Mus musculus: one gene and its partners. The protein of the gene in region 1 interacts with the protein of each later gene in a biochemical or structural test. Links are inferred from orthologs where the notes say so. Each region holds a gene or a part of one and is shown in the gene's direction. Other genes may lie near its edges. The genes, in order: Smad3, Tgfbr1, Cebpb, Zfyve9, Jun, Nedd9 and Mecom.

Region 1 (3,500 bases):
CACAGCTGGTGACGGCTAAACTGGCCCTGGTAGTGTCCTGTTAGCTCAGAGACTGTTAGGGCTCTGATAACCAAGCCTAGCTTCCCCCACCCCCAAAGGAGATGGTGAGTCAAGAGAAGCAGAACAGAGTCACACAGCAAATGGGGTCTCTGCTAGTCCACCGGCTACTGGACACGGACTCTGGCCTTTATCTTCTGGGTCATGCAATCCTGGCACTTGGATAGCAAGACTTCAAACAGGTTTATTTTCAGTGTTATTAGTGCCTGTCTCTAGCTATACTATGGAGAATTTAGATACACTTTGTTGTTAATGTCACCTCAGACCAAGCCTGTATCCGGAGGCTACCATGTGACCCAGCTATCTTCCCCAGCCCGAGCATGAGACAGGGCTATCTGGTGGAAGGTGCTCTGACCCTCTGCAGAGCATCCCTATGTTAGCAGGTCCCATGCCCACCTCATTGCCATATGCCCTGCTACTGTAGCAATGCAGGAGCACCTGTCCCCAGGTGGCTACCACACAAGGTATTGGAAACCAAGCTCAGGTGCCCTGCCTCTCTGAAGCCTAGGGTTCTGCCTCAGCCTCTCCAGGCCATACCTGTATCACCTGAGCCCACTTCCAAGCTTCCTTCTTGGCATCCCAGCATCTGGAGGTGGCTCCTATAGGCCGGCCTGTAGCATCCCTTGCACATGCATCTCCCTGCTAAGGGTGTGCAGATCAAGTGTAGTAATAGAGAAGGCCTATCCTTGCATGGTGATGAGCTCAGAGCAGATAGCCACTGGGTGGGACCGTAGTATGCCACTTGAGGTGTGTGAATCCAACTGTTCGGGTGGTCCTGGGATTGGCTTATCTGACTTGTCTATGGTTGGCAGGCTGCAACCTGAAGATCTTCAACAACCAGGAATTTGCTGCCCTCCTAGCTCAGTCTGTCAACCAGGGCTTTGAGGCTGTCTACCAGCTGACGCGCATGTGCACCATCCGTATGAGCTTCGTCAAAGGCTGGGGAGCAGAGTACAGGTCAGTGCCTAAGCTGCCTTTAGTGGTGGTAGAGGGAGCCAGCTCTAGGCAAGGCATGACAGCCAAGGATAGCGTCACAGCCTTAGTCTAGTGCTCAGCAGCTCTCAAGCACCATCAGCATTTCTAGGCCCACTGTGGGGACGCTGGCATTATTCTTGTAGAGATATGGAGGCTAAAAGCTTATGGAGAGTCAGGTGGAAAAGACAGGTCCAGACTTGGCCTCTCCTGGGCTGCTGTGTCCTCAATTTCCTTGGGATGGATTCTCAGGATGACTGTCTTCCCTGACAAGGAAGGAGATTTGAGTGTTTTATAGAGAACAGCTAATTCATGTATATATTTTCATTTAAAGAATGCCAGTTAGCACTTTAAACATGGCACCAGTAATAGCAAGGTCTACCTGGTCTGCTTGGTTGAGGCCCCTCAGGCTGTCTAGACTCAGTTTAATGAGAAGGCAGTCTCCTTTTCCCATGCTGGACAGGAGAGGTCTGGGAGGCAGGGCCACATGCCCTTCTGCTCCATGCCTCCTCCCTGGCCCCCAGAGTGGAGCCGCACAGAGGTACCCACACGTCAGCTGCAGCCAGCGCCTTGCAAGTTCCTCGCCCCTTCTCTTCATTTTTCCAGATGTTTGGAATCGGTTTTGTTTTGCAGTCATTCTGCACCCCAGCCAAACCCATTTCAATATTGGCTCCGGGCCACCGTTTGTAATGAAACCCCGATGAGCATGACTTATGGAAAGTCAGATTCTCAGCAGAGGACGGAGGTCTGTAAAATCTAACCTCGCTGTCTAGGTTTCAGAGCTGTTGCTCTTTCACGGATGCCCCATGGTGCCAGTGAGCAAAGTACCCTGGGCCTTTGAATCTGAGATCCAGGGAGGGTCACCAACAGCTCAGACTGCAGAATAACTCCCAGCCATGCTGTGGTGACCCGGCCCAAAGGTCTGGCTGGGCAGATGCCTGAGCCAACCTTTTAGCCCAGGATTTAGATCATTTAGGGAATCAGAGTGAAAGGTTAGAAAATTAATTCTTTAACGCACAAACCCCGAAGGAAAAGAACTGGGAGGCCTGCTTGCCTTCAGGCAGGGGGCCCAGGCTGTGAACCTCCCGAACTGTTCAAGCAAAGCACTTGAGGCTTGAGGGAGGGTTAGCCTCGGGATGATGGCCCCAAAAGTGGTACAGCACCAGGGCCGCCCATCTTCAAAGATTGGCAGAAGCCCCTCTCTAGGGCACTGTATCACCACGGAGGAAACCCTGCCAGCACACCCCGTCCTACCCGGCTTACTGCGTCACTGCCGCCTGGCAGCATAGCACGGCAGGCAGCCTAGTGGCGGGTGCGGCCCCTTCCCAGAACAGCCATGCCCTCCTGCATTGTGGGCCAAACAGAGTAAGGTTTCAGGCTGGTTCTTTAAAGCAGCTGTAAGCGGGCCTGCAGCCTAGGCCTCACCTCCAGCTGGCACCCGTATGTCGCCACAGCAGATAGCCTTTGCTCGGTGGAGGCTTCTGGGAGCTTGCCTGTGAGCTGCGTCACCAAGCAGTCTGAATTTAGACAAAGTGCTTTGAGGGAAAAGAAATGTGTGGTGTGCCTTGGTTTTTCCAGTAATTGTTCCCCGGCTAGCTCTGCTGGTAATATTTTCCAAAATAAGCCGTAGATGGGATTATAGCAGCACCCTGGGACTTGAAGCATGTGGCCCTGTCAGTGCTTTGTAAAACGCCCTCCATCAGACAGGCATGTCATGACAGCTGCGGGGCTGGCCCAAATCTGGAAGGGGGCTGCAGGCACCTACCCAGTGGCTAAGCTAGGAACCAGGGAGACCTTAACTCAGGCAGGAGGTTCTACATGGGGGCTTCTCCCGGTTCCTGGAAACCGACCTTCTTTAAATCTTTGAGGTCCTCTCCCTCCAGCAGAACCCGACTTACACAAAGCCCTCCCAGGAGGACTGGTCTGGTTCAGCCACATTTGCTAGTACCACCTCTAGGCACTATTTACCTATCTAGCACAAAGAGAGATCTCTGTCTCGGGGTAGCAGAAAGCAGTGTGGTAACTCAACTTGTGTGTGTCCTCAACATTTTAATCTCTCACCTCTTCCCTCTTCTTCCAGGAGACAGACAGTGACCAGCACCCCCTGCTGGATTGAGCTACACCTGAATGGACCCTTGCAGTGGCTTGACAAGGTCCTCACCCAGATGGGTTCCCCGAGCATCCGCTGTTCCAGTGTGTCTTAGAGACACTAGGAGTAAAGGGAGCGGGTTGGGGAGGGCGGGCTTGGGGAAAATGACCTTGGAAGAGAACTCCATCCAACTTGGTCTTGTCAAAGAACACCGATTCCACTCAACTAAGGCACCAGCCTGTTTCTGAGACCACAGAAGAAAACCCCAGGGATGGATTTATGAACAGCTGTGTCTGCTACATACACGTGCCCCTGTCTGAAGGCCAAGTGATGGCTTCTGTTCTGGTGGCTTGAACTAACAGGTGGTGTATCGCCACCTGAC
Region 2 (3,500 bases), on another chromosome or scaffold:
AAGAGGAATACTCCTCCATTGCTAGTAGGATTGCAAGCTGGTACAACTACGCTGGAAATCATTTTGGTGGTTCCTCGGAAAATTGGACATAGTACTTCCAGAAGATCCAACAATACCACTCCTGGGCATGTACGCAGAAGATGCTCCATCTTGTAATAAGGACACATGCTCCACTATGTTCATAGCAGCCTTATTTATAATAGCAAGAAGCTGGAAAGAACCCAGATGCCCCTCAGCAGAGGAATGGATACAGAAAATGTGGTACATTTACACAATGGAATACTTAGTACTCAGCTATTAAAAACAATTCATGAAATTCTTAGTCAGATGGATGTGTCTGGAGGATATCATCCTAAGTGAGGTAACCCAATCACAAAAGAACACACATGATATGCACTCACTGATAAGTGGATATTAGCCCAGAAGCTCAGAATACCCAATATACAATTTGCAAAACACATGAAACTCAAAAAGAAGGAAGACCAAAGTGTGGATACTTCAATCCTTCGGGGGAACAAAATTCCCATGGAAGGAGTTACAGAGACAAAGTTCAGAGCAGAGACTGAAGGAATGACCATCTAGAAACTGCCCCACCTGGGGATCCATCCCATAAACAACCACCAAACCCAGATACTATTGCAGATGCCAGCAAGAGCTTGCTGACAGGAACCTGTTATAGCATCTCTTGAGAGGCTCTGCCAGTGCCTGACTAATACAGAAGTGGATGCTCACAGTCATCTGTTGGACGGAGCACAGGGTCCCCAATGAAGGAGCTAGAGAAAGTTCCCAAGGAGCTGAAGAGGTTTTCAGCCCCATAGGAGGAACAACAATATGAATTAACCAGTACTCCTAGATCTCCCTGGGACTAAACCACCAATCAAAGAAAATACATGGTGGGACTCATGGCTTTAGCTGCATATGTAGCAGAGAACGGCCTAGTCAGTCATCAGTGGGAGGAGAGGCCCTTGGTCCTGTGAAGGTTCTATGCCCCAGTATAGGGGAATGCCAGGGCCAGGAAGTGGGAGTGGGTGGGTTGGGAAGCAGGGGGAGGAGGGAGAGGATAGGGGATTTTCAGAGAGGAAAGTAGGAAAGGGGATAACATTTGAAATGTACGTAAAGTACCTAATAAAAAAATACAGTTGGCAAAATAGTCTAGAAAGGATGTGCATACACAATGTATTAATATCCAGTGCTGGAATGCAGAGGTTGAAGAATCCCAAATTTGAGACCAGCCTGGATGAACTATGGTGATAAAACCCCGTCTCACAAAAAATTGAGGGAAAGAGTTAAAAATTTATAAATAAGCAAATAGAATAAAAAACAAAAGTAAACAAAGGAAGTCTTAGGCTTTAAAAAGTTGGTGGAAGGGCTGGTGTGATGGCTCAGTGGGTAAGAGTACCCGACTGCTCTTCCAAAGGTCCAGTGTTCAAGTCCCAGCAACCACATGGTGGCTCACAACCATCCGTAACGAGATCTGACGCCCTCTTCTGGTGTGTCTGAAGACAGCTACAGTGTACTTACATATAATGAATAAATAAATCTTAAAAAAAATAGTTGGTGGAAAAGTATATAATAAAATATGAGTCTGAAGCTTTGCAAGGAAGTTGATAATTTGTAAAAACTTTATTAACTATATTTATATATATTTCTTCTGCTATAATCCTGCAGTAAACTTGGAATAAGAAGAAAAGACCAAAGTGCTTTATAAAAAAATGAGTTATTAGAAGTTGTTTCAAATAATTGTTTACTTTTCTTGTTTACCTGAGGTGACAAGTGGGGAAGGAGGTCTAGAAGGGGCTTAGCTAATGAACCCAATGGTGAACTATAAGATAGGCTGGGGATACTCAGGAAGAGTGAGAGGGTACTGACAGCTGATGGTCTGACAAAGGAGACCAGGGAGGGAAGCCCTGTGTGACTAAATGATAGTAGTGGACACGGGGGTGGGGGTGGAGGGATATGGAGGGTTTGGGAACTGTGAGTGCCACCTACAGTGTTTTGTTTCTCTTGATGTTTATTTCATTGGAGGACCTTTTTCAGAAAAGCAGTCAGCTGGCCTTGGTCCTGTGGAGCTGGCAGCTGTCATTGCTGGTCCAGTCTGCTTCGTCTGCATTGCACTTATGCTGATGGTCTATATCTGCCATAACCGCACTGTCATTCACCACCGTGTGCCAAATGAAGAGGATCCATCACTAGATCGCCCTTTCATTTCAGAGGGCACCACCTTAAAAGATTTAATTTATGATATGACAACATCAGGGTCTGGATCAGGTAATGTTATTGTTTACCTTTTTCTTAAGTCTTAACTCATTTTTCCTATTTTATTTAATTAGTTGGTTGGGGCATTTGGCTTAATTTGTTAAAACTTTGGAATAGTATGAGTACTATACAGGATTGCAGCCTATTGAAAACTGTTGAGCTTGCTGTCTGACTGGATAGTTTAATATAGATAAATTGGAACTTGGTTTTACCATTGAAACAAGTCACAGATGTATAGGCTTCCACACATCCTCCCCTATATAACTTGAGCCTGGGAGGTAGAAAGTTGGACACCATTCTTACAAAGATAGAGCTGCAGCTAAAAGATGCATCTGCCATTCTGCAGCTCTGAGACTGTTCTGGAATTTGGAAGCTGATTAGCCTCTTTAACATGATACAAAATTGTTGTTTTAATAAAAAGTGTGTGTGTGTGTGTGTGTGTGTGTGTGTGTGTGTGTGTTTGCACACACATGCCTGCCAACCACAGTATCCATGTGGAAGTCAGAGGACAACTTGAAGGAGTCAGTTCTCTCTCTCCTCTGTATGGATCCTGGGAAACAAACTCGTGTTAGCAGGCTTGGTGGCAGATGATCAGACCAGTCTCGTTTATTGTTTAAAATTAAACTATTGCATCTTTAGTAACTTTTTACATTTAAAAGAAAATTTCAAACAAAGAAACAAAAATAGTAGTCCTGTGAATGAATGTTTGTTTTTCTTGGCTTTGTTTGTTGATTTTTGTGGACTCAGAAGTAGACTGGCTGATTGTCAGGATCATGCTGAAATAGATTTTAGCATAATAGTATTTTGCTTTTAGACCAAAGAGAAAATACCTTTTTTTCCCTTGTCTGTGGTTTGGAAGAAGACTAAGAGAAGTGTGCCTCCTTTACAGTTTTGGACTTTAGGGCTGGAGAGATGGCACAGTGCTTAAGAGCACTGCTGTTCTTCCAGAGGTCCTGAGTTCAAATCAAAATACTCACATGTTGGCTCTCACTGTCTTTAACTAATCTCTGGAACCAATGCCCTCTTCTGATGTGTAGATAATGCATATAGACAAAATACCTATATGTATAAAATACATAAGTAAATTATAAGAAAAACAATTTTGGAATTTGATGTGTGGCTAGCAATCAATAGGTTTAGACTCTAACACATGCTCTATGACTTTGGTCAGTTCATATTTCCTCTTTGTTTTTGTTTGTTTGTCTTTAAGCTTATAACTTGCATTTTTATTTGATATTTTCTTT
Region 3 (3,193 bases), on another chromosome or scaffold:
AGAAAGCCGCAGGCAGGCAGGGCTAGCGTCTTACCCTTTCCCTCCCTGCCCCCCACCCCCAAGGGCACAGGGAGATGTCATTTCTCCAGCTCTTGGGGGCGGAGGTCACCCCAGCTCAGCAGATAACACCGAAGGTTGAGCAACACCCCGCCAGCTTGCCGGGGCCAGGGCTGGGGTCAATGGGTCGGGGGTCAGCCCCTGACAGGTTGGCAGCTCCTGCTTGAGTGGCCCACCTAGGAGTGGCAGAAGGGTGGGCCCCAAGAGTTGCCCTGGGCGTCCTCAAAAGGGTCTCACCGGAGAGAGGCTGGTGATCCCAGCCCATTCAAGTGCACGGGGTGGAGGGGTTGCCTCCCCAGCTTGCAGGGTGACCGCTGGGTCCTTATGGCTGGAGTGGGGTCTACCATGCTCCCACCGCAATCACCTGAGAAGCCTCTGGGCAGGGCTGTGCAGGTCTTAGGAAGGCATCGTACTTCTCGGGGGTCCGTTTGTCTCTGATGACACCACTACTAACAATACCAACACTGTCCACGGAGGGAACTCAGAAGCAAAGTGACTCACCCAGACACAGTGTGGCAGAACCCCCAGCCCTGCCACCTTCATGGAGAGGCGCAGGGAGTGGCGTAGGCAGGTGCGGTAGGCGGGCCATACATAGGGTGGAGGGCTGGGATCCAGGACAGCGAGCATCCCCGGGGTGGGCGTGCACCTGGAGAGTTCTGCTTCCCAGGAGTTGGGGGGGGGGTCCCAGAGGTGTGGGCAGCACCTGGGTGGGAGGACATGCACCCCGTGGAAGGCTGCTTCCAGGGAATTGGGGCCCGGGGACAGCGGGCAGGATCCGAGGGTTGGGGTCGTGTAGCTGGAGGAACGATCTGTTTCCCAAGAGTTGGGGGTCCGGGACAGCGGACCGGAGCCGGGACGAGCCACCGCGTCCTCCAGCAGGGGGCGGGCGGCGGCCGCGCTCCTCCGTGTTCCCGAGGGGCGGGAAGGGGGCGGGCTGGCGTCACCCGCGTCCGTGGCCATCGCGGGGCTGGCGGGACGCCCGGGTCACCGCTCAGCCTCCCGCGCGAGGACCCCCGCCGCGCCCCACTCCCCGCCGCGCCCTCTCGCGCTCCCGTGGCCGGGCAATGACGCGCACCGACCGGGTGGCGGGGCGGCGGGAGGGGCCCCAGCGTGACGCAGCCCGTTGCCAGGCGCCGCCTTATAAACCTCCCGCTCGGCCGCCGCCGCGCCGAGTCCGAGCCGCGCACGGGACCGGGACGCAGCGGAGCCCGCGGGCCCCGCGTTCATGCACCGCCTGCTGGCCTGGGACGCAGCATGCCTCCCGCCGCCGCCCGCCGCCTTTAGACCCATGGAAGTGGCCAACTTCTACTACGAGCCCGACTGCCTGGCCTACGGGGCCAAGGCGGCCCGCGCCGCGCCGCGCGCCCCCGCCGCCGAGCCGGCCATTGGCGAGCACGAGCGCGCCATCGACTTCAGCCCCTACCTGGAGCCGCTCGCGCCCGCCGCGGACTTCGCCGCGCCCGCGCCCGCGCACCACGACTTCCTCTCCGACCTCTTCGCCGACGACTACGGCGCCAAGCCGAGCAAGAAGCCGGCCGACTACGGTTACGTGAGCCTCGGCCGCGCGGGCGCCAAGGCCGCGCCGCCCGCCTGCTTCCCGCCGCCGCCTCCCGCCGCGCTCAAGGCGGAGCCGGGCTTCGAACCCGCGGACTGCAAGCGCGCGGACGACGCGCCCGCCATGGCGGCCGGTTTCCCGTTCGCCCTGCGCGCCTACCTGGGCTACCAGGCGACGCCGAGCGGCAGCAGCGGCAGCCTGTCCACGTCGTCGTCGTCCAGCCCGCCCGGCACGCCGAGCCCCGCCGACGCCAAGGCCGCGCCCGCCGCCTGCTTCGCGGGGCCGCCGGCCGCGCCCGCCAAGGCCAAGGCCAAGAAGACGGTGGACAAGCTGAGCGACGAGTACAAGATGCGGCGCGAGCGCAACAACATCGCGGTGCGCAAGAGCCGCGACAAGGCCAAGATGCGCAACCTGGAGACGCAGCACAAGGTGCTGGAGCTGACGGCGGAGAACGAGCGGCTGCAGAAGAAGGTGGAGCAGCTGTCGCGAGAGCTCAGCACCCTGCGGAACTTGTTCAAGCAGCTGCCCGAGCCGCTGCTGGCCTCGGCGGGCCACTGCTAGCGCGGCGCGGGTGGCGTGGGGGGCGCCGCGGCCACCCTGGGCACCGTGCGCCCTGCCCCGCGCGCTCCGGCCCCGCGCGCGCGCCCGGACCACCGTGCGTGCCCTGCGCGCACCTGCACCTGCACCGAGGGGACACCGCGGGCACACCGCGGGCACCGCGCGCACGCACCTGCACAGCGCACCGGGTTTCGGGACTTGATGCAATCCGGATCAAACGTGGCTGAGCGCGTGTGGACACGGGACTGACGCAACACACGTGTAACTGTCAGCCGGGCCCTGAGTAATCACTTAAAGATGTTCCTGCGGGGTTGTTGATGTTTTTGGTTTTGTTTTTGTTTTTTGTTTTGTTTTGTTTTTTTTTTTGGTCTTATTATTTTTTTTGTATTATATAAAAAAGTTCTATTTCTATGAGAAAAGAGGCGTATGTATATTTTGAGAACCTTTTCCGTTTCGAGCATTAAAGTGAAGACATTTTAATAAACTTTTTTGGAGAATGTTTAAAAGCCTTTTGGGGGCAGTAGTTGGCTTTTGAAAAAAAATTTTTTTTCTTCCCTCCCGACTTTGGATTTATGCGAGATTTTGTTTTTGTGTTTCTGGTGTGTAGGGGGCTGCGGGTTATTTTTGGGTTGTGTGTGGCGGTGGGTGGGGGTGTCGCATCTGGGCTTTTCTCTTCCCATGGCAGATGGGGTGTCAGCCCCTCCCCCCAGGAGAGGGGGCAGAGTGCCAGGTCAGGAATTCAGGGTGACTCAGCACCCACGGGTGCTGGGGGACTTGCTAGAAACCCTGCTTGGGACGGGCCGCCCTCGGCTTGGTTTGAGTGTCAGACTTGTGTTGAGAGGACTAGACATTCTGTAGGAAAGGCTAGTCCAGACAGCTGGGTCAGGGCAGGTGAGTTCTGTGTGTTTGGTGGTGTGGGGGAGACCGCACGCCTGTTTGGTGTCTGTGTCCCTGTGTAGCTGGAAGAGAGATTGGGCCGAGAGGAAGGTGAAGGGAACACTTCCTACTCTGCTTTCCCTTTCT
Region 4 (3,500 bases), on another chromosome or scaffold:
AACCACATGGTGGCTCACAACCATCCCTAACGATATCTGACTCCCTCTTCTGGAGTGTCTGAAGACAGCTACAGTGTACTTACATATAATAAATAAATAAATCTTTAAAAAAAAAAAAAGAAGAGGGTATCCAATATCATGACAGATGGTTGTGAGCCACCATGTGGTTGCTGGGATTTGAACTCAGGACCTCCAGAAGAGCAGTCAGTCCTCTTAACCACTGAGCCATCTCTCCAACCCCTGGCTTGATGTTTTTATGTGCTCTTTATATTAATAATTCAGTCTTCACCTCCTACACCCCAGTTCCTCTTCCTAGAATCTCGCTCCTGTGTCTTTAGTCCTGCATTGGATGCTTACATGTTGCTAGTGCCAAGTCATTAGAAATGCGTGTGGGAGGGGCTGGAGAGATGGCTCACCTATAGAGCACGTGTTGCTCTGCAGAGCACCTTGGTTCAGTTCCCAGCACCCACATGGTGGTGTACAGCCATCCTTAACTCCCGTTCTAGAGGATCTGACCTCCTTAGGCACCAGGCACATACATGTTGCACATCCATACATGCAGACAAAACAGTCATACACACATTAAAAAAAATAATAATAAAATAAGTTTATTTTTTCAAGAAGAAGTGAGTGTGGGCTCTGAGTCAGTAATTAATTCTGCCACAGAGACGCTTCTCTCCTGAGTACGTACATGGGGGGAATCTGGCCTTTTATTGCAGAATTTAACTAAATACCTGACCAGGGCAGGGTAAAAGGTTCTGTGTCTGGCTTTATTTCCTCACTGGCCATCATCAGCTAGTATTTACTTTCACTTAGGGTCTTGTCCTAAGCTGCAAGGGGCTTATCTGGGGCTGAGGATGTAGCTCAGGTTAGAGTGCCTGCCTAGCAGGCATGAAGCCCTGGAACTGATCCTCAGTACCACAGAAACTGAGCACAGTGGGGCACACTGGTAACTTAGTATTTCAGAGGTGGAGACTGAAGGAACAAAAAATTTAAGATCAGCCAGGCACACACTTGGGAGGCAGAGGCAGGCAGATTTCTGAGTTCGAGGCCAGCCTGGTCTACAAAGTGAGCTCCAGGACAGCCAGGGCTATACAGAGAAACCCTGTCTCAAAAACAAAAACAAAAAAACCACCTTAAGATCATCCTTGGCTACCACATATCAAGTTTGAGATGAGACCCTGTCGTAAGACAGCAATAATAAAACAATAACAAAAACCAGGCTGGCAAAATGGCTCAGTGGGTAAAGGCATCCATTCTGCTGTCAAGCTTGGCAAGTTGTCCCCATAACCCTGACTCCTAAGATTGTCCTCTGATCTCGACATGCATGTCGTGGCACATGTACCATGGTACATGCACGCACCCATACACATACATCAAATGCAGGTTAGGAAAATCAAAAGTCTACCTGTGTAACAAACAGTACTGAGGTATCCTGCTCCACCTCACAGTACTGATAGCATCTGGAGAGAGGCCCCTCCCGTGGGACAGTTGGATAGCAAGCATTTTTCTGCTAAATTTGTGACCCTCTTGAGGGAAAGGGCCTTTTATATTTGAATTTCTGTTTTCAGTTGCTCAAAATACAGTGCTCTGATGACTGCACAGGCTGGAGTTGATGCTGTTTGTTATATGCCTCACTTTAACTTTACAACCAGAGCCTGGATTATCATCTGACTCACCATTTCTCTTCCCAGGAAACACACATTAGCACACTAAGGGACTAGCCAAAGGTCTTACAGCTATCAAGTAGCCAGGGTAGATAGAAGATGATAAACTAGTAAAAAGAAAAGAATTTGTGTGCACTATCATTGTGTTGGGCTCATGGCAAAGGGTGTGGTATTCCCTGCTTGGCCTCTTTGGTTCAGCCCTCTGCAGAGATCCCTGCCCGGTAACCTGTCATCCCTTTCTCTCTGTGGTAGGTTGGCTATCAAGCAGGGAGCAATGGCCAGCCCCTTCCCTCGCAGTACATGAACGATCTGGACAGTGCCTTGGTGCCTGTCATTCATGGAGGAGCCTGCCAGCTCAGTGAAGGCCCTGTCGTCATGGAACTCATCTTTTATATTCTGGAAAACATCGCATAGATGAGGACTCCATTGTTTCTGTTCAGACCTGTTGCAGCAGCAGTCATATCCAAATCATTTGCACTTTAAAACTGGAAGATTAAGCTTTTTGTTAACACTGTCAGTAGGGAGGGTTTGGGGTGGGAATAGGACTTAGGGGAGATGGGGTGGGGAGGGTGGTAGGGGACAGATGTTCCATGATTCTAAGTCTTCTATGCATTCTCCAAGAAGACCCGGGCAGCTTCTTACTGCACAACAGATATGCTATCTTTGCAGCTAACTCCCTTCTGTTACTGTCTAGACAAGACTTCTGCTCCTCTCTTATGATTACTTCCGGTCATGTGCTCAGATGAATGCTCATATGGGCACAACCATCACCAAGGTCACAATGGGGGGCAGAAAGGAAATAAACAATGAATCGTCACTTTTGTACTTCCTGTACAGAACTGGCATAAAAAGACCGCTATGCTGATCATCCTGGTTGCACCCCCAGCTGTTTGTCATGTTTAGATTCGTGTTTATTTGTTCAGATTACTAACTGAATCAAACCAAAGGGGTTTCTGGTCTGTTAGCCAGGGAAGGTAACTCAGTATAAACCAGGGCATTTGGATAGAGAAGCTGAGTGACAGCTGGCAATGGGCACCCAGGGCATTGTTATTTACTACACACTAGAAGTATTTTTAAAGAACATTTTACTAAGAAATCTCTTAAACTCCAGGAAAGTTGTACATGAAAAAAAAAAACAAGGCGTCTTTTCTACAGCCCCACGGACACACGCTCACAGGGACGCATACACACACACACACGGACGCACACGCTCACACACTAGCACTTTGCCCCTTTGGTTCGTCAGTGCTTGTCTTCCCCTCCTCTATTAAACTGAGGTATTTCAGATTAAGGTGCATACAGTACAGCCCCTCATCCTTAAGTCAAGTCACAGTGTCTGGAGGCTCTAACCTCATACCTGCCCAGAACCTTTGGGAACCTTTCTTCAACAGAGAACTTTCCAGTTTAGTATCAGACGCTGCACATAGCTTTAAGCTTGTCTTTATCTCTTTGTGGCATGGAATTTTTTTTTTTTTTTTTGGGCCCTCACATCCTGGATTTTTGTTTGGTTTTAGTAGAAAATACCTCATTTGAGTTTGGATTATTGGCCAGAAACACTTGATATCCATCTGCCTTTCAGAGACAGTGGCAAAGCTCATTATCACCAGTACACCATGTCCAGTTTCCCAACTATGTATTTACCCTTTTAGTAATAACTAATATATGCAGAACTTTTCAATCTATGCAAAGATCTTGCTCCTCAAAATTCCCCTTCGGTTTAGCACCACTGATGTTTTCTTGCCTGCACTGCTCTTTCACTATGACAGCTGTAAAATGACTTTCTAGTTTCAGCATGGCCCTTTCTTTATGAGCTGGATTTAATAGACTCAAAAC
Region 5 (4,171 bases), on another chromosome or scaffold:
CTCAGAGTCAAAACTAATGCCTGGCAGCCCGGTGTAGTGGACCTCATTCGCTCTACTTCTAGATGAGACCAATAAAGCTCAGAGAAGTTCTGAGATTTGCCCTTATGCCCTGGGAGAACCAAGCTTGCCACCTCTTTAGTCCTGAGGGGTGGAGGGTGGAGGGCTGATAGCAGAACCTTAGAAAAGAAATAACTTACATGTGTCTAGCGCTTCCTAGAGGCCGCACAGGATATGACTCCACCAGTGAGCGGGGAGGGGAGTTTTCAGCCTGTTTCTACCAGGGACTCCTGCTTAAGCACCGTGACTTGGGGCGAGTCCGCAGCTCTCAAGGCTTGTTTTCCCAGAAGCAAATCAGGGAGGGAGGAAGGGCGGGCGCAGACTGAGTGTGCGCGGGACCGTGTGTATGTGCTAGCGCAGGCGATCGCCGAGGTTTCCTGAGTTTCGAACCTTTATATGTTGCTTTCGACACCCCATGGGCGCTGGGCTAGCATCTTTCACACCTAGAGGAGGGGTCCCTCGGAGGCAAAGCGAACACCCCTCCCCCGGCACGTCCAGAGAATAAAGTGTTGTGCCGGGGACCCTGATGAGTCGGTTCCGAACACCGCAAATCTCTGGTTTCCAGGTACAGCACACTGCGGCGCAGATCCTTCTCCGAAACTAAACTTCCAAGCATACTCATCTTGGAGGGCTACTCTCAAACCCGCTCAACTTCAACGCACTTACGTGCTCCCACACCCAGGGCGCACACAACCCTTTTAACCCGCATCGCTCTGTCCCCCGGAAGTGCGGGGGTGCGGAGCCAGCTTCAGTCACTCAGATCATTCAGCCCTTTCTCGGGCGTGCGTGCGTGTGTGTGTGTGTGTGTGTGCCCGCGCGCGGGCGCGCGCCTGTGTGCAACCTTCACTCCCACCCAAGCTCTCCGCCCCCGGCCACTAGCGCGCCTCCCCTGCTTTCTGGATCCCCGCGTCTCGGTCCCAGTCCCCAGCCCTGAACTTGAGCCCGCCTCCGACAGACTCCGCAAGGGTCCTGCCGACCGGCAGCCTCCGTCACTAGACAGCCAAACCAAGACGTCAGCCCACAATGCACCGGGCGGGCCGGGAAAGACGCGCCGGGGAGGGAACCCGGGAACACAAGCCGAAGCTGAGCGCGGGAGGGGGGGGGGGGAGGAGGAGAAAGAAGGGCCCAACTGTAGGAGCGCAGCGGAGCATTACCTCATCCCGTGAGCCTTCGCGGGCCCAGAGAAGAATCTTCTAGGGTGAGGTCTCCATGGCGACGGGTGGGCCCGCCCCCCTGAGAACGACGCAAGCCAATGGGAAAGCCTCGGGGTGACATCATGGGCTATTTTTAGGGATTGACTGGTAGCAGATAAGTGTTGAGCTCAGGCTGGATAAGGACTCAGAGTTGCACTGAGTGTGGCAGAGACAGCCTGGCAGGAGAGCGCTCAGGCAGACAGACAGACAGACGGACGGACTTGGCCAACCCGGTCGGCCGCGGACTCCGGACTGTTCATCCGTTTGTCTTCATTTTCTCACCAACTGCTTGGATCCAGCGCCCGCGGCTCCTGCACCGGTATTTTGGGGAGCATTTGGAGAGTCCCTTCTCCCGCCTTCCACGGAGAAGAAGCTCACAAGTCCGGGCGCTGCTGACAGCATCGAGAGCGGCTCCCGACCGCGCGAGGAAATAGGCGAGCGGCTACCGGCCAGCAACTTTCCTGACCCAGAGGACCGGTAACAAGTGGCCGGGAGCGAACTTTTGCAAATCTCTTCTGCGCCTTAAGGCTGCCACCGAGACTGTAAAGAAAAGGGAGAAGAGGAACCTATACTCATACCAGTTCGCACAGGCGGCTGAAGTTGGGCGAGCGCTAGCCGCGGCTGCCTAGCGTCCCCCTCCCCCTCACAGCGGAGGAGGGGACAGTTGTCGGAGGCCGGGCGGCAGAGCCCGATCGCGGGCTTCCACCGAGAATTCCGTGACGACTGGTCAGCACCGCCGGAGAGCCGCTGTTGCTGGGACTGGTCTGCGGGCTCCAAGGAACCGCTGCTCCCCGAGAGCGCTCCGTGAGTGACCGCGACTTTTCAAAGCTCGGCATCGCGCGGGAGCCTACCAACGTGAGTGCTAGCGGAGTCTTAACCCTGCGCTCCCTGGAGCGAACTGGGGAGGAGGGCTCAGGGGGAAGCACTGCCGTCTGGAGCGCACGCTCCTAAACAAACTTTGTTACAGAAGCGGGGACGCGCGGGTATCCCCCCGCTTCCCGGCGCGCTGTTGCGGCCCCGAAACTTCTGCGCACAGCCCAGGCTAACCCCGCGTGAAGTGACGGACCGTTCTATGACTGCAAAGATGGAAACGACCTTCTACGACGATGCCCTCAACGCCTCGTTCCTCCAGTCCGAGAGCGGTGCCTACGGCTACAGTAACCCTAAGATCCTAAAACAGAGCATGACCTTGAACCTGGCCGACCCGGTGGGCAGTCTGAAGCCGCACCTCCGCGCCAAGAACTCGGACCTTCTCACGTCGCCCGACGTCGGGCTGCTCAAGCTGGCGTCGCCGGAGCTGGAGCGCCTGATCATCCAGTCCAGCAATGGGCACATCACCACTACACCGACCCCCACCCAGTTCTTGTGCCCCAAGAACGTGACCGACGAGCAGGAGGGCTTCGCCGAGGGCTTCGTGCGCGCCCTGGCTGAACTGCATAGCCAGAACACGCTTCCCAGTGTCACCTCCGCGGCACAGCCGGTCAGCGGGGCGGGCATGGTGGCTCCCGCGGTGGCCTCAGTAGCAGGCGCTGGCGGCGGTGGTGGCTACAGCGCCAGCCTGCACAGTGAGCCTCCGGTCTACGCCAACCTCAGCAACTTCAACCCGGGTGCGCTGAGCAGCGGCGGTGGGGCGCCCTCCTATGGCGCGGCCGGGCTGGCCTTTCCCTCGCAGCCGCAGCAGCAGCAGCAGCCGCCTCAGCCGCCGCACCACTTGCCCCAACAGATCCCGGTGCAGCACCCGCGGCTGCAAGCCCTGAAGGAAGAGCCGCAGACCGTGCCGGAGATGCCGGGAGAGACGCCGCCCCTGTCCCCTATCGACATGGAGTCTCAGGAGCGGATCAAGGCAGAGAGGAAGCGCATGAGGAACCGCATTGCCGCCTCCAAGTGCCGGAAAAGGAAGCTGGAGCGGATCGCTCGGCTAGAGGAAAAAGTGAAAACCTTGAAAGCGCAAAACTCCGAGCTGGCATCCACGGCCAACATGCTCAGGGAACAGGTGGCACAGCTTAAGCAGAAAGTCATGAACCACGTTAACAGTGGGTGCCAACTCATGCTAACGCAGCAGTTGCAAACGTTTTGAGAACAGACTGTCAGGGCTGAGGGGCAATGGAAGAAAAAAAATAACAGAGACAAACTTGAGAACTTGACTGGTTGCGACAGAGAAAAAAAAAGTGTCCGAGTACTGAAGCCAAGGGTACACAAGATGGACTGGGTTGCGACCTGACGGCGCCCCCAGTGTGCTGGAGTGGGAAGGACGTGGCGCGCCTGGCTTTGGCGTGGAGCCAGAGAGCAGCGGCCTATTGGCCGGCAGACTTTGCGGACGGGCTGTGCCCGCGCGCGACCAGAACGATGGACTTTTCGTTAACATTGACCAAGAACTGCATGGACCTAACATTCGATCTCATTCAGTATTAAAGGGGGGTGGGAGGGGTTACAAACTGCAATAGAGACTGTAGATTGCTTCTGTAGTGCTCCTTAACACAAAGCAGGGAGGGCTGGGAAGGGGGGGGAGGCTTGTAAGTGCCAGGCTAGACTGCAGATGAACTCCCCTGGCCTGCCTCTCTCAACTGTGTATGTACATATATATTTTTTTTTAATTTGATGAAAGCTGATTACTGTCAATAAACAGCTTCCTGCCTTTGTAAGTTATTCCATGTTTGTTTGTTTGGGTGTCCTGCCCAGTGTTTGTAAATAAGAGATTTGAAGCATTCTGAGTTTACCATTTGTAATAAAGTATATAATTTTTTTATGTTTTGTTTCTGAAAATTTCCAGAAAGGATATTTAAGAAAATACAATAAACTATTGAAAAGTAGCCCCCAACCTCTTTGCTGCATTATCCATAGATAATGATAGCTAGATGAAGTGACAGCTGAGTGCCCAATATACTAGGGTGAAAGCTGTGTCCCCTGTCTGATTGTAGGAA
Region 6 (3,500 bases), on another chromosome or scaffold:
GCTTGCACTGCAAGTGCAGTTAGCTTTGCTGAACAGATAGGGGACTGTGCCTTTGAATACAAAGAAGACCCAGGCAGCTTCACACACACACACAGGCAGCCTGATGACCAAGAATGGAACACAGGTCCCTCTGCCCAGTGTATCAATGTCTTCTGTCTCTCAGCATAGATCAGTTTGTGTAGGACAGTCAGTGAATGGTTAGAAACATGAGACTGCAACCCAGTGATGAGCAATTTAGCTAGGAGGGAGGGCTCTATACCCAAGCTAGCAACAAGAATGGTTAAGAATGCTCAGGTAATAGGACAAAGGCATACATCCTCTAAGGAGTATGCTGCATGCTGGGAAACATCTGAGGTAGTAAATGATGAGAGGAGAGGAAGAAGATGGAACGAACAGTGCTGTGAACTCTGGACCACGCTATTCACTTTCTGCCTCCATCAAAGTCTCAACTGAACAAATAAAATGGCTTTTTACTTACGTTTTTAGGTCTATGCCATTCCACCATCGGCTTGCCGAGATGAGGCAGGGCTCAGGGAAAAGGAATATGATTTCCCTCCTCCAATGAAGCAAGATGGAAAACCAGACACCAGACCTGAGGGGGTTTATGACATCCCTCCAACCAGCACCAAGACAGCAGGCAAGGACCTTCACATCAAATTCCCCTGTGATGCTCCAGGAGGTGTCGAACCAATGGCACGAAGACACCAGAGCTTTTCCCTGCACCATGCACCCTCTCAGCTGGGACAGTCTGGGGACACTCAGAGTGATGCCTATGATGTCCCCCGGGGAGTTCAGTTTCTGGAGGTACCAACAGAAACCAGTGAAAAGGCAAATCCGGAGGAAAGAGACGGTGTCTACGATGTCCCTCTGCACAACCCAGCAGATGCCAAAGGCTCTCGGGACGTGGTAGATGGGATCAACAGACTGTCTTTCTCCAGCACTGGCAGTACCAGGAGTAACATGTCCACCTCTTCCACCTCCTCAAAGGAGTCTTCACTGTCAGCCTCCCCGTCTCAAGACAAAAGGCTCCGACTGGACCCAGACACAGCCATAGAGAAGCTCTATCGGCTCCAGCAGACCCTGGAGATGGGTGTGTGCAGCCTCATGTCACTGGTCACCACAGACTGGAGGTGCTACGGATACATGGAAAGGCACATCAATGAGATCCGCACCGCGGTGGACAAAGTAGAGCTGTTCTTACGAGAATACCTCCATTTTGCCAAGGGAGCTTTAGCCAATGCCTCCTGCCTCCCAGAACTGGTCCTCCACAACAAAATGAAGCGGGAACTCCAAAGAGTAGAAGATTCCCACCAGATTCTAAGCCAAACCAGCCATGACTTGAATGAATGCAGCTGGTCCCTGAATATTTTAGCTATCAATAAGCCCCAAAATAAGTGTGATGACCTAGACCGGTTTGTGATGGTCGCCAAGACAGTGCCAGACGACGCCAAACAACTGACCACCACCATCAGCACCTACGCGGAGACCCTCTTTAGAGCAGATCCTGCCAATTCCCATCTGAAGAATGGGCCCAACAGCATCATGAACTCAAGCGAGTACACACATCCGGGCTCCCAGATGCAGCCACTGCATCCTGGTGACTACAAAGCCCAGGTCCACAGTAAGCCGTTGCCTCCTAGTCTAAGCAAGGACCAGCCACCAGACTGCGGTAGCAGTGACGGTTCTGAGCGGAGTTGGATGGATGATTATGATTATGTTCACCTACAGGTAAGACCTATAAACCACCCAGACTCGGGGCTGATGCCCGTAAGGCTGTGAGCTGGACCGATAGGAGGCTGATGTCCATAAGGCTGTGAGCTGGACCGATAGCAAAACATGTTAATCTAACTGTTGTGAAAACTGAGGGTGAGGTTGTCCAAAAAAATGTACAGCCACTTTGTCTAACTTCCCTGGACCTTAATTTTATTTTGAGAATTAATTTAGCTCACATGGTTGTATGACATCTCATTGATACACCTCAGGAAAGCTGGAGGAGACTCATCAATGTTGTTGACTGGTGAGTCCATCAGCCATAGAATCACTTCTCCCTCGGCTTGTGTTTTTATGGCACAGGTTCATGGAACAGCTCATCATAACAGAAATAAGTTTAAATATATATCACTGTTAATTTTTTAGAAATTATTGGAAATATATGTACATAGAGAGTTTCTAAGGTACTCTTTCAGCCTACAGTGTGTGCATATGTGTATGTGTGTCTGTGTGTCTGTGTATGTGTGTATGTTTAGCTGCTTACAAAGACACAGAGCTCCATCAGATCCAGAGGACCCTGTGATCCCTTGCCAAGTGGCCAACAGCTTGACCTACTTATGTTAAAATCCACAAACTGCTTCCTATGAGTATAAACTGTGCTAGCTCCCAAATGGACCTGGAACCCTGAAGGCTTCCCTGTCTGCTTTGAAGAATTCCAACACTCTACCATAATCCATGCCTTTGTGTTTGGCTTAGTGCTTTAGGCGGCCATTCTTTTCCATTGGACTGAGAGCCATGAGTTAGGCTGAAAACGATTAAAATACCAGCAGCCCCCAGACGCAAGAGAGTAGAAAGGATCAACTGAACCACATCTCATGCTGAGGATTGGCCGAGGTTAGAGGAAAGCATTTAACATTCCACTGGTCTTCTGATGCTGTAGACTGGAGAATACTAAGGATGGGTAGAGAGATGCAGAATAGTCAAAGGAATCAGAAGTGAACTATGCACCCATTTTTTTTAACCTTTGTTTGGAAGCACATGGTTCACATCCAATCTATTTTAAAAGAGCCATGGAAAAAGAATGCTTGGGAATCTTCAGAAGCTCTTCAACTGGAGCTAGCAGTGACCGTGGTGGCCCACACGGACACAGGCTTTACTCTTCAGCCTATCTCCATGGCAATTCCAGAAGTCGCTAATCTCTGGTTTACAATGTCTAACTGGACATGAGGGAAGTGGCCAGTGGATAATAAAGGTCTGAGTATACTTGTCAGTGAAACTGTCCCCATAAGTGTCTCACAGCAAGGAGGTAATACTGTCTTTGTTTTGAACACACCAGGGCAAGGAGGAGTTTGAGCGACAGCAGAAGGAGCTCTTGGAAAAGGAGAACATCATGAAGCAGAGTAAGGCGCAGCTGGAGCATCACCAGGTAGGTTTGAACACAGCAGACAGCACACCGTTTGGTAGGGAACGGAGAGCTCCCAAAGCCTGGGGTCCTCCCGGCACACTGGCAGGAAGAAGGAAGTCCCAGGCATGTAATAGGACAAGAGAACAAAGTGAAGGTGTGTGGCCTATGACTACAGCTGAGTGTGCCTGGATTGCATCCAAATGGCAGTGTTTGTTCAGACTGTGCCTGCACATCTATCACCCGTTAGGAGTACTTGGTTTAAAGCTTTCAGTCTCAAGACACAAGACCCAAGTCAGGCAAGCCCAAGCTAACTGGTTTTCCATTGAGGCCAAATAAGGGAATTCCAGGGAATGAGATGCAACCAAAACCAAAGAAAGCAAGGACT
Region 7 (4,100 bases), on another chromosome or scaffold:
CCTGGAATTACACAGCTCTGGGGAGGGAAAGGTGGTGGGTATTCTTAGATGAGGTAGGTCCTGTAAGCTTGGCCACCGAAGCCCCTGGGAATTGAACCTAGATATTCGCTCTCTCACAACCGCAGTCTGAGCTCAAACTAAATGAATACCAACAGGTGCAACTGAGTTCCCAACAACCCTGCTCGTCCTTGCTCTCTCAGAGGAGAGACCAGGACTTTCCTGCTTCTTCCGACTTGAGTTTTAGGATGGTAGCAGCACCGCACGGAAAAGATGGCAATTTTCTTTTATGGTGTCTGGCAGGATTTGCAGCAGATATTAATGGAGACATAAATAGCACGTGGAAGGTATTGAACACAACTGTTTAATGCAAGAAGGTTGTACTAAGAAAAATCCATACTGAGTTGGGAGTGATTCATACCTTGAACACACCTAACCCCTTGCGCCTTCATTTCTGCCTGCACACTTCATTAGTAAATTCTGTAATTAGGCACATTTCAACAATGTACGTTTTGTATTTTCTAGGTATGCGTATGGAATTTCCCCCCTTCCTCCTTCTGGTGACCCCAGAGGTTGTAGGTTTCAGTGAGTGAGTGGAAATGGCAGGCGGGCTGGGTAGCAGCAGGAGGCCGGAAGGTGCCGGCCGACCTTAGGCAAGGCAGGAGGTCTTGGATGTCAAATGTTCAGCCCGGCGGGACCTGGGCATCAAGGGCGATTGTTGCTACTTGATGGAAACAGACTACTGAAATGTTCCTAGGATGGCAGCTACCGTTGGTATTACAGCTAAAATCGAGAACCGGTTATTCATCCAAAGCGGAAGCCCCAGGAACTTCAGAAGGAGAGAGCGGCAGCAAGGGCAGAGCTCTGAAGTTCAAGATGCTTCTCGCCTTCTGATAACACGTTCACGGTCCAGTCCTCAGCCTAGTTCTTGTGTAGACGGAAAGATTTATCCTAAAGTTTTTTTTCCCTCCTCCGCTCGGTTCCCCTACAGACAATGTAATTTATGGTGGAGAAAACATTAATAATAATTATAATGCAGGCTTATTGACTCCCACACAGACATAGTCCTCTGCCCCACGAATCAATTCTCTGTCCAAGACTTTTCATTTCTTTTCTTTTTCTTTCTTTCTTTTTATTTTTTTTCCCGTTTGGGCGAAGTGTCTGCTCCCCTCCAGCTCCCCGCGCTCGCTCCCCGCCCCCTGCCGCCCTCCCCGTAGCTCCCTTTCTCCGCCTCCTCGGCGATTGCCATCTGACAAGATCTCCAAATCAAAGTGATAAATCGCTCCAAACTTTTTTTGGCGGCGCTGAGATGTTGGAGGGGCGTCTAACGCGCATGTGCGAAGGTGTCCAAACTGACAATGCTAGAGATAGCGAGTGTGGATTGAGAGAAAGAGAGAGAGGGAGGGAGAGAGAGTGAAAGACCGAGTGTGTGCGTGTGTGTGCGTGTGTGAGACAGAGGAGAGAGAGAGAGAGAGAGAGAGAGAGAGAGAGAGAGAGAGAGAGAGAAGGGAGGGGGAGAGAGAGAGCAAAAGAAGGAAAAGATCCAAGAAAAAAAAAACCTAACCACCCAGCAGCGGCTGCAGGACTGGGCACAGCATGAGATCCAAAGGCAGGGCAAGGAAACTGGCCACAAGTAGGTGCAATATCCCTTTTCTATTGGCTTCCCCCCCTTCTCTGCCATCTTGCGTATCTGTGTCTAGCGCACGGGGAGAGAGCGCGGGCTGCTTTGGCGCGGGGGGCCTGGGGTGGAAGGCAGGCACAGCGCAGCCGGCAGCCGGAGCAACCTGCCGATTCCTGCCTCCGCGCCCTGGCTCCTGCTCTGGGCGCAGTGGAAGCGCGGTAGCCCTGAGCCCCGCACCAGGACCAGCTGTGGCAACTCCGGGGTGGGGGTGGGGGCAGCAAAAAGCTGGGAGGGAGGGAGGAGGGCGCGCGCGAGTGAGCGCGAAGGGGTGGGGGGAGAGGAGAGTGTGTCCCCCTCCCCTCCCTTCCCCCCCCAGGCGGGGGAGAGTCGCCTCTGGCCAACCAGCTAGTTCCCGGAGCGGGAGGAGGGGGGAAGCGGGTGGGGGGGGGGCGGGCAGGGGAAGGGCGCCTTTCTGAAGCTCTGTTTGTTTCTGGGGTTTGGGACGGGTGGCGGGCTCCGAGGGAGCCGCGGTGGCTGTGGCCGCAGCCGGCCGCGATGGAGTTGGGAAAAGTTGCGAGGCGGCCGCTTGCAAGTTGCGCGGGCGATCGGCGCTGCGCCTAGCCGCGGCTGCGGTAGTGGGCGCTGTGCGCTCGGTCCTTGTACGCGGCGGCGTGTGCGACGCGGCGGGAGCCCTGGGGAAGGGGAGGCAGGGGGGCCGGGGGGGACACGGTCCTGGGGATGGGTGGGGGGAACCCCGGCAGCGCCGAGCTCTCGGCTCCGCAGAGTCACTCGGCAGGTGGGGAGAGCGGAGGCCGCGCCGGCGTTCTCAGGCCCGGGCGTGGAGGGCGCGCGGCCAGCCGAGAACGCTGCTCCGTAAGGCCAGGAGGGCGCGCTCCGACCCGAGAAGCCCGGGCTGGCAGGGCGCCGAGTGACCCCCAGGGGGCGGGCTGCCGGAACTCGGGGCCACCAAGGGGGAGCAGCTCAGCCTGCCGTTCTCTTTCTGGGTGCAGCCGGGGTCCCGGGTCACTCGTCCTCCCCGGCGCCCTCTGTCTGCCCGGAGCGGAGCAGCCTCGGTCACGCGGGACTAGGGTAGTGGGGTTTGGGGCTATGGGGGACTAGACTACCATCCCCCACGCTTTCAGGGAAGGCTTGGGTGACACTCCAGGACAGGGTAGGGTGGGAAGGGTTGCTTAGCAGGGACTAGTAGGAGTCTGAGGTGGGTTTGTTCAAATGCTTCTGCCCAGCGTTGAAGGGGGCCCAACGAGCAGCCTGCCGCCTTCTTACTCCCTCGGACATCAGAGCTGCTTCGGGAAAGGACCGGCCAGGCCGCCCATGCCTCTCACACTTGGACTTGAGGAATCTCGAACTCTCTTAATTGTTTTGTTTCGGACCAGAGAGACTAAAGATAGGATGTGGATAGTATGTTTGCCCCAGTGAAGTCCCCAAGCGTACCCCCCCATCCCTTGCACATTGGAATTTAGGGCTGGAGGCGCTCCATGCAGCACCACCGGGCGCGTCCTGGCACAGCGGCGCCGGCTACAGTCGTAGCCCCCCGGCATTCCCGGTGTGGGGAATGCAACGTAACGCCCGGCGAGACGCTGTCCTCCCGGGCGTCTTTCCAGTGCTCCAGCCACTCCGCACTCGTGTCCTGCACTCACATACGCTCTAGCGGCATCTTTTCTCTTGGAACTCGGGTCGCAGAGATCAACCTAAATACTGGGCCGTCAGTCGGCCTCCTCGGTCAGTCAGCCGGCTTCTTTCTCTGCTCCTACGGCTCATTTCACTTCGTTGCAACAGTGTAAAGTGCGCCAGCGAAACTGTTTTTCCTGTTGGCTTTTCACTGAGTCTTTATTTTCTTCTGAGAGGGAATAAATGTACACATGCTTGATGGCTTTGAGACTTCAAAGGTTAGGGGTGTGTGTGTGTGTGTGTGTGTGTGTGTGTGTGTGTGTATTTGAGAGGAGGCGGGGAGATCGTTTCAACCGAGCAGTAAGTTGTGAAATGAAAGCCTAAGGCTTTCACCCTGCTTGGTTGCCCAGCATCCGACGAAGCGAAAGCTGAACGCAAAACCTTTCGAATTTTCTTAAGGCTCGCCCCCGCCCCCGCGCGCCTTAGCTATTTTAATTGCTAAGCAAGCTGTACACCCTGTAGCCCACTACTGAGTCCAGAAGCTGAGCCTCCTTTCTGATCTGATGAGACTTGTCAGTCACCGCATGTGAGACACATTGATTTTTGTCTCGTGTGGGGTAAGGATGCCCATGTGCTCTCTAGAGAGCAGGACCCCAGCCTTAGGAACTTTTCCTGCTGAGCCCCAGGTTCCCACTAGCGGGGCTTTTACTGCTTCTGCGGCTGCCTTCCAGAGACACGGGCGCCGCGTAGTGCAGTTTTCCAGCTACCGTCTGAGCAATAAAGGAAATCATATCAGAACTACGGATTTTTGTATTTTAAAGCGCTATTTCCTTTTGCCGAACTGCGCGTGGCA

Evidence for each region.
Region 2: the proteins of Smad3 (region 1) and Tgfbr1 form a complex in vitro, tested with the Homo sapiens proteins (2 studies listed by BioGRID, with this or other methods). The link is inferred for Mus musculus from reciprocal best matches to the Homo sapiens genes SMAD3 and TGFBR1.
Region 3: the proteins of Smad3 (region 1) and Cebpb form a complex in vitro, tested with the Homo sapiens proteins (2 studies listed by BioGRID and IntAct). The link is inferred for Mus musculus from reciprocal best matches to the Homo sapiens genes SMAD3 and CEBPB.
Region 4: the proteins of Smad3 (region 1) and Zfyve9 form a complex in vitro, tested with the Homo sapiens proteins (2 studies listed by BioGRID and IntAct, with this or other methods). The link is inferred for Mus musculus from reciprocal best matches to the Homo sapiens genes SMAD3 and ZFYVE9.
Region 5: the proteins of Smad3 (region 1) and Jun form a complex in vitro, tested with the Homo sapiens proteins (3 studies listed by BioGRID). The link is inferred for Mus musculus from reciprocal best matches to the Homo sapiens genes SMAD3 and JUN.
Region 6: the proteins of Smad3 (region 1) and Nedd9 form a complex in vitro, tested with the Homo sapiens proteins (2 studies listed by BioGRID). The link is inferred for Mus musculus from reciprocal best matches to the Homo sapiens genes SMAD3 and NEDD9.
Region 7: the proteins of Smad3 (region 1) and Mecom form a complex in vitro, tested with the Homo sapiens proteins (2 studies listed by BioGRID). The link is inferred for Mus musculus from reciprocal best matches to the Homo sapiens genes SMAD3 and MECOM.

Annotation. Positions count from the first base shown.
Region 1 is NC_000075.6:63,649,995-63,653,494, reverse strand, and holds part of Smad3 (mothers against decapentaplegic homolog 3), read left to right. Parts: intron 1-869; coding exon 870-1,014; intron 1,015-3,109; coding exon 3,110-3,233; 3' UTR 3,234-3,500. UniProt on the Homo sapiens protein: Receptor-regulated SMAD (R-SMAD) that is an intracellular signal transducer and transcriptional modulator activated by TGF-beta (transforming growth factor) and activin type 1 receptor kinases.
Region 2 is NC_000070.6:47,391,222-47,394,721, forward strand, and holds part of Tgfbr1 (TGF-beta receptor type-1 isoform 1 precursor), read left to right. Parts: intron 1-2,025; coding exon 2,026-2,268; intron 2,269-3,500. UniProt on the Homo sapiens protein: Transmembrane serine/threonine kinase forming with the TGF-beta type II serine/threonine kinase receptor, TGFBR2, the non-promiscuous receptor for the TGF-beta cytokines TGFB1, TGFB2 and TGFB3.
Region 3 is NC_000068.7:167,687,740-167,690,932, forward strand, and holds Cebpb (CCAAT/enhancer-binding protein beta), read left to right. Parts: upstream 1-1,175; 5' UTR 1,176-1,282; coding exon 1,283-2,173; 3' UTR 2,174-2,693; downstream 2,694-3,193. UniProt on the Homo sapiens protein: Important transcription factor regulating the expression of genes involved in immune and inflammatory responses. Also plays a significant role in adipogenesis, as well as in the gluconeogenic pathway, liver regeneration, and hematopoiesis.
Region 4 is NC_000070.6:108,637,840-108,641,339, reverse strand, and holds part of Zfyve9 (zinc finger FYVE domain-containing protein 9), read left to right. Parts: intron 1-1,919; coding exon 1,920-2,081; 3' UTR 2,082-3,500. UniProt on the Homo sapiens protein: Early endosomal protein that functions to recruit SMAD2/SMAD3 to intracellular membranes and to the TGF-beta receptor.
Region 5 is NC_000070.6:95,049,423-95,053,593, reverse strand, and holds the start of Jun (transcription factor AP-1), read left to right. Parts: upstream 1-1,371; 5' UTR 1,372-2,322; coding exon 2,323-3,327; 3' UTR 3,328-4,171. UniProt on the Homo sapiens protein: Transcription factor that recognizes and binds to the AP-1 consensus motif 5'-TGA[GC]TCA-3'.
Region 6 is NC_000079.6:41,314,002-41,317,501, reverse strand, and holds part of Nedd9 (enhancer of filamentation 1), read left to right. Parts: intron 1-486; coding exon 487-1,728; intron 1,729-3,046; coding exon 3,047-3,136; intron 3,137-3,500. UniProt on the Homo sapiens protein: Scaffolding protein which plays a central coordinating role for tyrosine-kinase-based signaling related to cell adhesion. As a focal adhesion protein, plays a role in embryonic fibroblast migration.
Region 7 is NC_000069.6:30,506,960-30,511,059, reverse strand, and holds the start of Mecom (histone-lysine N-methyltransferase MECOM), read left to right. Parts: upstream 1-1,300; 5' UTR 1,301-1,593; coding exon 1,594-1,630; intron 1,631-4,100.